Linked DNA regions of Yarrowia lipolytica. The protein of the gene in region 1 purifies or fractionates together with the protein of each later gene. This does not show direct contact. Links are inferred from orthologs where the notes say so. Each region holds a gene or a part of one and is shown in the gene's direction. Other genes may lie near its edges.

Region 1 (7,475 bases):
AAGCACCATACTCTGTAGGATCTGGGATATTAATTGAGGGATCCAAGAGAACGGGAGCAACAGAACCACCAATGACAGCTCCTCCTCCAAATGCAGATCCGTCGAAAGCAACCCCTTCAGGGATCGCAGGGGTTTGGGGTGAAGGAGGTTCGGGATGCTCGTAAGAAGTTCTAGGCTCGTATGCTGGGTTGTGAGGATCAAACGAAGGATCAAAGGGATCAATCGCTGATTCGTGTGTGTACTGAGGTTGCAGATGATGTTCCGCTAGCAGATCCTCTCCGCTCATGGGACGTGTGCTATGACTGCTCCCGCTGTCGTAGCTATGGTTGCCGGTAAACATGGAACTCATAGATCTGTTGTTGTTATCAACGCCTCCTCTCTGACTATTAAGGTACGACTCGTTGGTCACGTACTCCTGGGAAATGTCATCTGTAGAGCCAGAAGGCGTGGCGTAAAACGACTCACGGGTTGCAAAGTCGAACGACGGGTTGGAAGTCGACGAATTGCTCTTCTTGTGGATTCTCAGAGGCGCTGCTGGTGTAAAAGGGTCCAGATGGTTGCCATCATTGATCTCCAGGTGAGACATGCGGTTCGTCAGAGGGTACTCTCGAGGTCCAGCGGGGGTCTTGGTGACCGTAGGCACAGGGGGAGCAGCTTTTGCCGGTGTGGGTTCATCTTCGTCACTAGAAGAAGAAAAGTCGTTCACGACTCGCAGCGTTCGTCGGGGAGGCGAGTGCTGGTAGTCCGAGTCCGGGGAAGGAGACCGAGGAGGCAGATGGTGCGACGGCTGGTAGATGGGTGCAGCAGCAGGAGTGGGCGCAGAAGCAGGGGCTGGTACAGGTGCCTTTGTGACAGCAGGAGCTACTGGTGCAGGTGTGGGTATTGGCTTTTGAATGTTGGTCTTGGGAACAGGAGGCATGGCAGGGGGGCACGTGTTAATGGTAGTTTTGGGAATAGGTGGCATAGCCGGTTTAGACACTGCTGGTTTGGCCACGGGCTTGACCTCGACTTGAGGGCTATCAAACTTGTACGCACTCTGAACGGGAGGAGTTTGCGGCGTGGGTTTTGTTGCAGCAGGAGTAGGAACTGGGTATGGCAGGGTAGACTTGCTGGAAGAGGTTGTGGTCGAGGCGGCCGAGGGTTGTCGTGTCGTATTCGATGCTGATCCGTATGACGACGTGTTTGCGGGGACTGGGTAGGGAGGGCTCTGTTGCGAGCTTGCGGACGTGCTTCCATGGGCACTTCCCCCAGGTACATTTCCGCCAGGTCCATTATTCTTAGGTGTCGAAGGTGCTACTGGTGTCGAATAAGACGTGTTGGGCACCGGTGGTCGAGAAGAAGCGCTGTAGTTGCGGCTGGTCGAGTCATGCTGTTTTGGTGACGTTCCGTTAGTAGCATAAGGAGCGGCAGCTGGGCTTGCAAACTGACTGGCCTGATAACCAAACGACGCCTGTTTCAGCTCCGGAGTCCCCGAGTAGGGGTTGTGGGTTGATGTTACGGGGACCTTTGGTGGCAGCGACGGCGGTGGTTGGGCCGTAGACGACTGTGAGGCCTGTGCTCTACCAAACCCCACGCCCTGTTGTGCATGTTGGCTTGCCGGTGACACGGGTTTGGAAAAGTTGATTGCTCCAGATAATCCGCCAGCAGATGTCGTTTGAAGTGGAGGCACTTTTCGGGCCTCGCTTACGGCCCGGCGTTCCGAGGTCGCGGGTTTCGGAGAGGTCGGCTCTGGATCAAGCAGAGAAGAATACCGGTATTGCTTTTTGGCGGCTGCAGGAGGCGTCCCCGGAGCAGCAGACGGCGTGCCCGTGGCACTCGCAGCTCCATAAGGTATGATTGGAGGTCCCAGCAGAGGTGAGCCTGTCTGAGGGTTCGGGCTGGCACTTGGAGTGGTGGAATTCGAGTCCACTCCCACAGGTTTTCGATGGACCGGCTTTCGCTTGGGGACATGAACTGGAGGCTGTGACGGCGACGGGGTCTTGTTGTCGGAGACCACGCCATTGATGTACCCTCCAGCTCCGTGAGACATTGTGATTGTGGTGGTGTGGTGCTGGATTTGTGACAGTTGTCTGTCTAACCAGTCTAGGAGGTGCTATTTTCGACTGCATGTCCCAGCACTATAATAGGCTTTTGCATGTGTGACGTCAGCCAAGCGACAAGTAGGGGTCGGCACGTGACGCAGCAAGAGGTGATTTGGGATGCTGTGAAGATGAACATTGTTCCTGACGCAGAGTTCGAGATGTATCTACATTGTAGCTATATCTCAAGGGTCAAATCCCTTTCCAAACTATGTTGAAACGCCCTGGACATCTTTGACCCCAAACTCCATCTTTTCCATCACCCCTCACTGGAACATGAAATGGTAAACACACTGATGGCAACCAACTCTGGAAGCTACTGTAGCGAGTCTGTAGCACTTGTTCAAGCTATTGTCATCGAAATATGATATTCCTATTACTGTAGGAGCATGAATTGTGTGTTGAGTACCATAACCATCTTTCCATGATTATATATATTTTATATATTTTTATAATTTAACAGTACATAGTAGAGAATATGTATCTTTTTTTATAATAACATAATACGTACATTAAACTCTATAGAATATGGGAAGACTACCAGATGTCTCACTGTAGGGAACAGTACGTAGTGTCTAAGTGTGTTGTTGAAATTGTAAGAAATAATGTCAACTGCGAGACTCGATTTACTTCACTTGGCTTATTGGGCTTATTCCAATGTCGGCAATCGCAGTGCAGATATGCCATGTGGGAAGATGTGAAGAGGTGCACGGACCGTATGTAGTTGAGCAGAATTTACGTCATTAGTAGAGGTTCTACTTGAGAATGACGCGGTTTGTAACGTGACCTTATAGCAATAAAAAATGCCTGCCATCCCGTTTTCTAGACACCTCTCTAACGCTCTCTAAGAGTATCAAATACGCAACTGGCCGGATCGCACTCTATTGAACCCCAAAGTAGGGTAACAACACATGCCTATGGCCACGATGTCAAAAGTCAATTGACGAGACACACTACGTGTAACCTAACCACTACCATGTCTGATTCAGCTCAGTACACGTTGGTCTACGAGGTGAGTAAAGCCGCCCGAGGTGTTTTGTGGCCCCCACAAGTCTCTTCTCGACGTGTCTTTCAAAAATTACACGCCCCCAACACCTCACAAGACACCACTAACACAGCCCTCGACTGAGAAGCTCTCGGTCCGAGACTTCCAGAACCTGCTTGAGAAGGGACGGGATGAAGACAAGGTCGATGCCATGCGGCAAATCCTGGTCGCCATGCTCAACGGCGACCCCATGCCCCAGCTTCTGATGCAAATCATCCGATTCGTCATGCCCTCGAAGAACAAGCAGCTCAAGAAGCTGCTGCACTTTTACTGGGAGATCTGCCCCAAGCTCCAGCCCGATGGAAAGCTCAAACAGGAGATGATTCTCGTGTGTAACGCCATCCGAAACGACCTGCAGCACCCCAACGAGTACATTCGAGGAGAGACCCTGCGATTCCTGTGCAAGCTCAAGGAGCCCGAGCTGCTGGAGTCTTTGATTCCCTCTGTGCGATCCAACATGGAGCACCGACACTCCTACGTGCGAAAGAACGCCGTTTTCGCCATCGCCTCCATTCGAGAGATCTCCGAGACCCTTGTCCCCGACTGCGACGAGCTGATCTCCACCTTCCTGGACGCTGAGACCGACGCCACATGTAAGCGAAACGCGTTTGTGTCGCTTGCCAACATCAACCGAGACTGGGCGTTTGCCTACCTGCAGAAACAGCTGCCCTCCATCGGTTCCCTCGACGAGCTCATCCAGCTGGCGTTTGTCCAATTCATTCGACGAGACGCCATTGTCACTCCCGAGCTGAAGCAGTCCTACATTGCCATCGTACTTGAGATGCTCGAGGCCTCGTCTCCCGCCGTCACTTACGAGGCTGCCATGGCCCTGACTGCCCTCACCTCTAACCCCACTGCTCTGCGAGCTGCCGCCCAGGAGCTGGTGGATCTCGCCATCCACGAGTCTGACAACAACGTCAAGCTCATTGTTCTGGACCGAGTTGATACCCTGCATCGACGAAACCCAGGAATTCTCAACGAGCTGTCCATGTCCATTCTGCTGATTCTGTCGTCTGCCGATCTGGATGTGCGATCCAAGGCCATCGACATTGCCCTAGACATGGTGTCCTCTACAAACATTGACGAGGTTATTAAGCTCTTCAAGAAGGAGCTCCAGGCCACCGTCTCCCAGGAGTACGAGCGAAACGCCGAGTACAGACAGGTTCTTATCCGAGCCATCCACAACTGCTCCATCAAGTTCCCCCAGGTGGCTGCCCAGGTTGCTGATCTGCTGCTAGACTTTGTGGCCGACTTCAACTCCTCTTCTGCCAACGATGTCATCATCTTTGTACGAGAGGTTGTCGAGCGGTTCCCCAACCTACGATCTACTATCGTCCGACGACTGTTGACCACTCTGTCTTCTGTTCGACGAGCCACTGTCTACCGATCTGCTCTCTGGGTCATTGGAGAGTACTGTCTCGAGGAAGCAGACATCCAGGAGGCATGGCAGCACATTCGAAATTCTCTTGGAGAGGTTCCCATTGTTGCTTCTGAGCGACGAAAGAGAGACGGTGAGACCAATGGTGCCGAGGAGGAGCCCGATGTTGGCGAGACTGCCACCCACAAGCCTTCCCGAAAGGTTCTTGCTGACGGTACTTACGCCACCGAATCTGCCCTGACCACCACTGTCAAGGCCGAGGTTGACGAGTTTGAGGGCCAACCTCTGCGGTCTATCATCCTCAAGGATGGCAACTACTTTGTTGCCGGCGTTCTTGGATCCACTCTCGCCAAGTTGGTGTTCCGATACGCTGCCATCACCAAAAAGCCTGCTCGGGTCAACGCTCTCAAGGCCGAGGCCATGCTGTTCCTGACCTCTATTCTGCGAGCTGGCCAGTCCGAGTTTTCTGCTGTTTCTATCGACGAGGACTCTACTGACAGAATCCTGTCTTGTATTCGAGCGATCTCTCAGGGCGACCGAGAGCCTGCCGTTGTGGAGGCCTACAGAGAAGACACGAAGGAGGCCTTCCGAGCCCTTGTTGGCAAGCTCGATAAGGAGCGTGCCGACAAGAAGGCTGCTGACAAGCGAAACAACGCCGTTCAAGTCGATGACTCCCTATCTTTTCGACAGCTTGTCAAGACTGATGGTGACGACGAGGAGCCCGAGGCTCTTGATACTATCGACACCACTGTTGTTTCTACCAAGCCTCTTTCCTCTCTTGCCAAGGTCCAGCCCCTCACTGGATTCTCCGACCCTATCTACGCTGAGGCCGTCATCAACGTGCACCAGTTTGACATCATTCTCGACATTCTGCTTGTTAACCAGACCAAGGACACCCTCCGGAACCTCACAGTGGAGTTCTCTGTGCTTGGTGACCTCAAGGTTGTTGACCAGCCTCAGAGTCTCAACCTCGGTCCCCATGGATTTGCCTCTCTACAGACCACCATCAAGGTGTCTTCTGCTGATGCGTCTGTCATTTTCGGTAACATTGTCTACGACGGTCAGTCTTCTCTGGACAACAAGGTTGTTATTCTCAACGATCTGCATGTTGATATTATGGACTACATCAAGCCTTCCACCTGCTCCGAGACTGAGTTCCGAAGCATGTGGAGCGAGTTTGAATGGGAGAACAAGGTCAACCTCATGGCAAAGGGTCTTACTCTTCAGAAGTACATTCGGTACTTTGTTGAGAACACTAACATGAAGTGTCTCACTCCTGGTGCCATCAAGGAGGATGCTACTGATCTTGAGGACGACTGCGGCTTCCTTTCTGCTAACCTGTACTCTATCAGTTCGTTTGGTGAGGAGGCTCTTGCAAACATCTCGATTGAGATCAACGACAACCTGGAGATTTCTGGACACGTCCGAATTCGGTCCAAGGGTCAGGGTCTGGCTCTGTCGCTGGGTGATCGGGTTGCCGACATTCAGAAGCAGCTCGTGTTGAAGAGCCTGGCATAAGGTGAGCTTGTATATATATATATATATAGAACAAGCAATGTAATGAAAATTGTACTATCTGAGCGGCAACGTGGGTACATACCCTACTATTACTGCAGTTACTGTATAGACTGATCGATCTGCCATGCTTTACATGAACCATGTATATGATGGCTTCCGATATGCACAATTTGAAATTTATAGGACGTATCTCAATGCTAACTCATTCAGTCTGGTTAGTCATAAGAGAAATTTATCTATCTATTTGTCTATATGCAAAAAACTATTACTATTCCTCCGCAACTCTTGTCAGCTTCTTCTTGTCGTCATTCTATCGCTTGTTGTGTTGATTTTGTGATGTTCGGGGAGTGAAAGCCAATTTACTTCTTGAAGATGTCCAGCAGACCAGTAAGGAAGAGCGCCGAGAGGACGGGAATGGTGAAGTTGTCGTCGATTCCGAACACATCAATGGACTCGGAAACGGCTCCGACGAGACCAGACATGGCTGTCAAGACTCCCAGAGTAAGTCGAGAAGACTGCTTGGACCAGGTGATCTGGCCGGGCGTGTCGACTTCAGCGCCGTACTTGGGGATGATGATGCCGTATAGAAAGAGACATGCGATCTCAGAGGCAATGAAGGCGCCCATAAAACCAGCCAGCGACTTGTTCTTGTACTTGGGAGTGAGGTATCCATAAGCCCGGCCGACGGAAGAGGCTGCGGTATCAGCCCAGGAGAGCAGAAGAACAGCCATAAGAGCAACATCCTTAGAGGCGAACGAGAAGACCAGAATGAGGCCAAGCAGGTACCAGATGGTTCCGTTAACGCCGTTAATCTCGGACTCTCGCATCAGAGCTCCCATGACTTTGCAGTAGGCCTTGTTGAGGGCCTTGTTTCTGAGACGCAGGAAGTCAAAGGTGCCGATGAACAATGCCATCACCACGAGAACGGGAGTGACCTGGTTCAGGTTGATGCCTTGGGTGTACAGCCATAGGGTGATGAAGCCGATGGAGGTGTGGAGGAACTTTCTGGGGATTTCGTGTTTCTTGAAGAAGGCGCCAAACCGGCCATTATGCCAGAACGCCAACAGGTCTTCGCCGTTGGTGTCGGTGGTGTTAGAATTGGTTTCGGTAGTCTTGGTTTCGCTCTTGAGAGAAGCAGGTGTAGACTGAGTGCCCTGGGCGGTTCTGCTAACAGGCGCACTCTTGGTGGCGCTAGCTCCAGTAGATGCAGCAGACATGACACGGGTGTTTTTGTGGGAGGGTGGAAGGGTGCGGGACGCGTGAAAAGGGCGTTATTTCGGCGCTTCTGAAACGTTTAGAATGGTTGGCTGTGGTTTTCGAGGGTGCAAAATCACGATTTAATTTTTTTTCCGCTTTTCTGCGTTTTTCCCTCTTGGCGATGTTAGCCAAAGTATAACTGCCGACCCGAGCAAGTACAACCGTACTTTGGCTGGAGTGAGCGAGGTGATTATGACAG
Region 2 (6,103 bases), on another chromosome or scaffold:
ACTGTAGTAGAAGTTGTGCTGGAGATCATCATTTGATGTCCGGGAAGTTTCAGGGGAAAAGAAGCCATACCAATCGATGAATAAATACTTGTACAATTTATAGGCAACAACGCATCAATAAATAACTGCTACCTACGCAATATCTTGCTGTATCTATAATTATGTGTCTCTCGGATATGATTTTTTGTTGAGACTTTACTTGACTTTTTTATTTGAAGGAATACTGTAGCTGTGCATCCAGCAGCCAACCAACAACAATATAAATTTATATTTACGTACTGTACCCCACCCATCGAAACAAGGTGTTGCCTAACATTTGACCTTGCCCATGTTACACTTTTCTTAGCGGAACATGCTGACAATACATTTTCTCTCTCGTCCCTCAGCACAGAGTAAAAAGTTTCTACCTCATTATCTCCGAGTTTGGGTTAGGGAAGCCAAAAGTAGCTCCCCAACATCCCAATCAGATGTACTTGTAATTTAGTTTGCCATTGAACACATATGTCCGATTAGTAAGCAAGAAACCCAGAGTGAATACACGTCCAAAATATAATGAAGCTCAAATCGTGTGTCTGGCGACATCAATCGCACAAGGGTGATCCGTTAATCCGTATTTCATCCCCTCCTCCCTCCAGCCAATATCCTCCCTCCCAATTACTCAACCTTAATTCAGGTCATCAACCAATAGGCGTGGCCCAATTTCTGAAAAACTAACTCTGGAGCGTTTGGGTCAAGGGCACGAACATCTCCATCACCACAGCTTCAGCTCGACCTTCACACACAAAAATGCTCCGACTGATCCGACCCCGTTTGGCAGCTCTCGCCCGGCCCACCACTCGGGCCCCCCAGGCTCTCAATGCCCGAACTCACATTGTCTCTGTACACCGAAACACTGAGAACAACAACCCCAGCATTCCCTTTGAGTTCTCCCCCGAGAACATGAAGCGAGCTGAGGAGGTGATTGCCAAGTACCCCCCTCAGTACAAGAAGGCTGCTGTTATGCCTCTTCTCGACATTGGCCAGCGACAGCTCGGTTATACCTCCATCTCCGTCATGAACTACGTGGCCAAGCTGCTGGAAATGCCCCCCATGCGAGTCTATGAGGTGGCCACCTTCTACACAATGTACAACCGAACCCCTATGGGCCGGTACCATCTGCAGATCTGTACCACCACCCCCTGTCAGCTGTGTGGCTCCGACGGTATCATGGAGGCTGTCCAGAACACCCTTAACATCAAGCCCGGTGAGACCACCAAGGACAACCTCTTCACTCTCTCTGAGGTTGAGTGTCTCGGAGCCTGTGTCAACGCCCCCATGATGGCCATCAACGACGACTACTACGAGGATCTCACTCCCGAGGGAACCGTCAAGCTTCTGGAGGACTGCAAGGCCGGCAAGATGCCCACTCCCGGCCCCGAGAACCACGTTCGACGAGACTGCGAGCCCGCCTCCGGCCAGAAGGTGCTGCTCAGCAAGGAGCCTCATAACGTGGCCGATTTCCTCCAGGAGGGTATTTAAGGGAAGGAGACTCATCACACAAGAGAAAGTCAAAAATGCCATGGCTGATATGGCTGATATAGCATAACATTAGATTCGGAACGAGGGCGGCTGGGGGCAACGCCTCTTTACAAGTTGGAGCGTAGTCTCAAAGTAGAAATGACACATGACAGAGATTATGTATTTATGTACTTACACTGTCGTAGTTTCTTGTACTCGTACAGAATCAAGGCAGTCATTAAGGGGATACAAGGATGACATAATCATTAAAATGCTACAAGTACAGCACAATGTTACAAGTACATTGGTGAACGACCCAGCCGAGGTATTTAGGCCATATGACATGTCATTTCATTATTGTATTGCTCCTTGGTCTTTGCTCGTCGTTATTTACATGCTTCATATGGTATTGTCTCCTACTCATCATCGCTCTTACCCCAGTTGACGCCCAGCCAGCCGGTACTCTTCTTCTTCTCCATCTTCTCCGCGGCGTTTCCAGCAATGTAGATTCGCTTGTGGCCCGGAATGTCAACGACAAAGTATCGGTAGACAAACCGCTCGGACGACAGCTTGGAGTCTGTGTTCTGCACTAGTTCCAGCTTGGCTCGTCCCTCGTTGATGTCTCCAGACACGTAAAAGTTCATCCAAATGTGTTCTCGGCCGTACTTGTCGATGCCTCGTTTGCTGACGGGGGGCTGGTTTCGGCCCCATCGGCCTCCTCCACCTTCGCCCATGGACGATAGTTGGCCTCCGAGCACTCGCATGACATCCTCGTTCTTCTCAATCTCCTTGAACGCTCGGTTGAAGATTCGCACGTCTCCAGAGGGCATCACCAGCTCCATGATCAGGTAGTACCAGACGAGTCCAAACAGTCCCAGTGCCGCCAGAATGATTCCTAGGTACCACGACAGCTGGAAAAAGACTCCGATCTTGGCCAGGCGCATGTTGGCCTTCTCGTAGGCCGACACCTTGGGCTTCCCCTCGGCCTTAGCGGCGCTTCGAGCGTCAGAGGACACATGAAATGACCGCTTCAGCAGAGAAAGTGTGCAATTGGACACAAATGGTGTGGATCGAGACAGTGTGGAGAGATGCGAGGGGGTAATGATTGGTGTAGATCTGACGGTTGTGGTGGGACCTGCAGTGGTGAGAGTTCTGACGAGAACGGCAGGTCTAAGGGCACCCAGTGCCATAGGGCGTGACAGAGCCAGTAATGGGCGTGTCAACATTGTGTATAAGTGGATTGTGTAGGGTGTCGTAATGTGATGTGCAGGTAGCGACAAGGTAGCCTTCTCCAGATTCCAGATTTGTTAGTAAAACTTTGCTGGGAGTTTAAGAAGCAATGAGGTGCGTTTGGGGTGTGCCAGTAGGTGGTCACGTGGATAGAAGTGAGGTGGGGTGCTCTTTGGTAGACTTGGAGTCGGGTTTTTGGTCACGTGGCTGGGTATTTATTAGGTATATATTCTCGCTAGCCCTGTTGGGTTGCATTATCTGACACATCTGTTTTGTTATAGTAGTTCCGTCTCCAGGCACGTCGCTCTGCTGCAACGCTCCAGAATGATGCATGATGGCCAAAGATGCTGCCGGGTAACTCTGACCATCAGCGCACTACTAGAGTTTACTTTTGACCTCGTGTCATTATCAACACAACATGGTTGAGAGCGACATTCTGCCCAAGTCTCAACGAGAGGAGATCTTCAAGAAGCTAAGCAGTCTTCAGGCTAACAAGGTGAGTTGTTTTTTTGGTCTTTTGGTTTTGAGCGGTTCCCACACGGCTGCCACGTCCAGCTGATCTGGCATGGACCGTATGGTTACCAAGGTGCAAGGGCTTATGTGGCACAGAAAGGGGGGTGTGAGCTGCCTCTGTGGCGTGTCAGTTTGTGGGTGTTTTTCTCCTACGCTGAATCATGCCGGGCTGGTGTTTATGACGCGCGTGCCTACCTACTCAATGGTGATGTGGCTCATACACAATACCGGTTTCAACTTCAACGCTAACCTAGACATGCTTTGACTGTCCCGCCAACAATGCCACTTGGTCGTCGGTCACCTTCGGTGTGTTCATCTGCTATGACTGCTCGTCGGTGCACCGAAACCTCGGAGTGCACGTGTCGTTCGTACGATCCACTACCATGGACGAGTGGTCCTACAAGCAGCTCCGAAACATGAAGTGTGGAGGTAACCAGAACGCACGGGAATACTTTGCCAAGCACGGAGGCTCCCAGTACCTCGAGAACGCTGGTCGAGCCCAGGAAAAGTATACTTCCAAGACCGCCAAGGCTTACCTGACTCATCTGGCCCAAAAGTGCGCCAAGGACGCAGCCCAGTTCCCCGACGAGATTGTGGTTGAGACTGCAGATGACGACGCCGCCAGCATCAAGTCTGCCTCCACCGACGACTTCTTTGCCAACTGGGACAAGCCCCTGGTCAAGAAGCCCACCCCTACATCTTCGCGGTCTTCCACCCCTGCTCTTGGCGCCTCCACTGCCAGCTTGCCCGGTATCCGAAACGGAAACAACGGCTCCACTTCTTCGCTGAACAACCCCACCAAGAAGGTGACCCCTACCGCCACCCGGACCAAGATTACCTCGAAGGCCGGAGGTGCCGCTGGCAAGAAGAGCATTCTGTCTTCCAAGAAGACCAAACCTAAGAAGGCTCCCGCCGAGTCGTTTGATTTCGAGGAAGCCGAACGACTGGCCAAGGAGGAGGAAAAGAATAAGGAGGCCCTGGGTCTTGGCAACGACGATGATGCTGAGGACGACGTGTTCGGCAAGAGCACCGTTGTTTCCGAGCCCACTCACACCGCCGCTCCCTCCGGCTCGTTTGGCGGCCCCGCAGACTACCCCCCCACTTACTCTAACGAACCCATCAAGCTGGTCCCCACTAACACTAAGGAGGTCGAGCAGAAGTTCCAGAAGCTCGGCTTTGGTATGGTTGCCGGTGAGAACAAGCTGGAGTCGACCAAGAAGAAGTCTACCTATGTCCCTCCGGATAAGGAAACTGCCGAGACACTCAACAAGTTCAAGACATCCAAGGGTATTTCGTCAGACCAGTTCTTTGGCCGGTCCGATTACGACCCTGCTGCCCAGAAGGAGGCGAAGGAGCGTCTTCAGACGTACTCCGGCTCCAAGGCCATTTCGTCGTCATCCTACTTTGGCCGAGACGAGGAGGAGGAGCAGGCTATGGTGAACCACTCGAGCGATCTGGAGCGAATGGCTGCAGATCTCGCTGAGCGGGTCAAGAACGTGGCCGGAGAGGATTTTGGAGGTCTGAAGGACGCTTTTGAGCAGGGTGGAAAAAAGGTGGGCGATTTCATGAGGGAGTACATGAGATAAGTTTGGACCAGCCTGAAAATCACAATAGAAGCTCTATCCCAGTAATTTATTGAGCATGTTAGTGTATGTATTAACTAAATATACCAATTGTACTTATACCTATAGTTTGCTCAGTAGTGCTCCAATTCTTGGTTTGTTTTCGTCCTCGTATTTCCACAGTCTGTCTCTTCTTTCGTGGAGGATACGAGTCTCGTTGTCGTAATCCATGGTTGTCAGCACGTTTCTGAGAATACCAGCTCTCATTTGGCTATAGAATGTCCGGTTTGAGTATTCCCCGATTCGTTTCACGATTTCTTCGACCTCTGGCCATGATCCGTGGGCGTGAATGAGTCCGGCTTCGAGAGCTGTCTTTGCTGTGAATCTCTCTGCGTTGAGCGAGATTCTCTGGGCTATAGCAGCTCCAAACTTGGTAACGTATATGGACATGAGAGGGCCCATTAGAGGCGCGTCGAACTCGAGTTCATTCATGCACAGCCACCCCTTGGCCGGGTTCATTACTCTGTAGTCATGGAATGCTGCCAGACAAAAGGCACCTGCAAAACAATGGCCATTGATGTTGGCAATTGTGGGCCAGGGGAAGTCCACGAAAGCTTTCAAAAGAGGGTAGAAGTAGAGACTCATGAAATTGGGGGTTTTCTGGGCCAATTCATAGTCCAGGCCGTTGGAGTAGAATTTGGGGGAGGTGGAGGTTGTCACCAGCGGTTTTGGGTCGTAGTAGAACTTGAGAGTGTCTAACGCTTCGATGAAGGCCGTGATGAAAGAGGGGGTTAGTCGATTGTCAGGTGGAGCGTTCAATTCGAGAATGTAATAAGACCCTTTGTCGGAGAGCCGAATTGTGTCTACGGCTTGGTCCAGGGGGAATGACAGTGGTAGCTTTGGGACAGTCATTGTGTTGTAGAGTGTTGTTTGTTTGTTTTGCTACAAGTACTGTAGGTCTCTTCCTACTATAAGTATCACTCCCCCACATGGAGATATGCAAGCACGGGCATGAGAGGTGTGGGGCTAAGGTTAGGGTGGGTCTACTACTTGTAGCTATGGTCTAGTTCGAGGGCATTTATTTCGGTTGAGGATTGGAGGACCCAAGTATATATCTTGTTGTAGCTGCGTTACAGTAGGAAGAATTGGTTTAGATCTGGCACTGCTGGGGGACAGATGTGGCTGTATTGTTGGGGTGCCGTGTGGTGTGGTTCTACGTTGACAAATAGTTAAGAGGAGAGCTGACTATATCGTTACTTGGATGGGGGGCTATCAGATTTTGTAGGAATATAAGATGGCCA

The links. Proteins that work in one complex are often made in the same cells at the same time.
Region 2: the proteins of YALI1_F25485g (region 1) and YALI1_D00747g purify together in Saccharomyces cerevisiae (affinity purification with mass spectrometry; 4 studies listed by BioGRID). This does not show direct contact. The link is inferred for Yarrowia lipolytica from reciprocal best matches to the Saccharomyces cerevisiae genes SEC26 and GLO3.

What each region holds. Positions count from the first base shown.
Region 1 is NC_090775.1:2,544,237-2,551,711, reverse strand, and holds YALI1_F25485g (uncharacterized protein), read left to right. Parts: upstream 1-3,054; coding exon 3,055-3,090; intron 3,091-3,196; coding exon 3,197-6,019; downstream 6,020-7,475. Other genes in the region: YALI1_F25496g (uncharacterized protein), read right to left, coding at 1-2,029; YALI1_F25444g (uncharacterized protein), read right to left, coding at 6,379-7,236. UniProt on the Saccharomyces cerevisiae protein: The coatomer is a cytosolic protein complex that binds to dilysine motifs and reversibly associates with Golgi non-clathrin-coated vesicles, which further mediate biosynthetic protein transport from the ER, via the Golgi up to the trans Golgi network.
Region 2 is NC_090773.1:72,110-78,212, reverse strand, and holds YALI1_D00747g (uncharacterized protein), read left to right. Parts: upstream 1-3,145; coding exon 3,146-3,223; intron 3,224-3,494; coding exon 3,495-4,826; downstream 4,827-6,103. Other genes in the region: YALI1_D00766g (uncharacterized protein), read right to left, coding at 775-1,560; YALI1_D00754g (uncharacterized protein), read right to left, coding at 1,914-2,723; YALI1_D00724g (uncharacterized protein), read right to left, coding at 4,926-5,714. UniProt on the Saccharomyces cerevisiae protein: GTPase-activating protein for the ADP ribosylation factor (ARF) family. Involved in retrograde vesicular transport from the Golgi to the endoplasmic reticulum.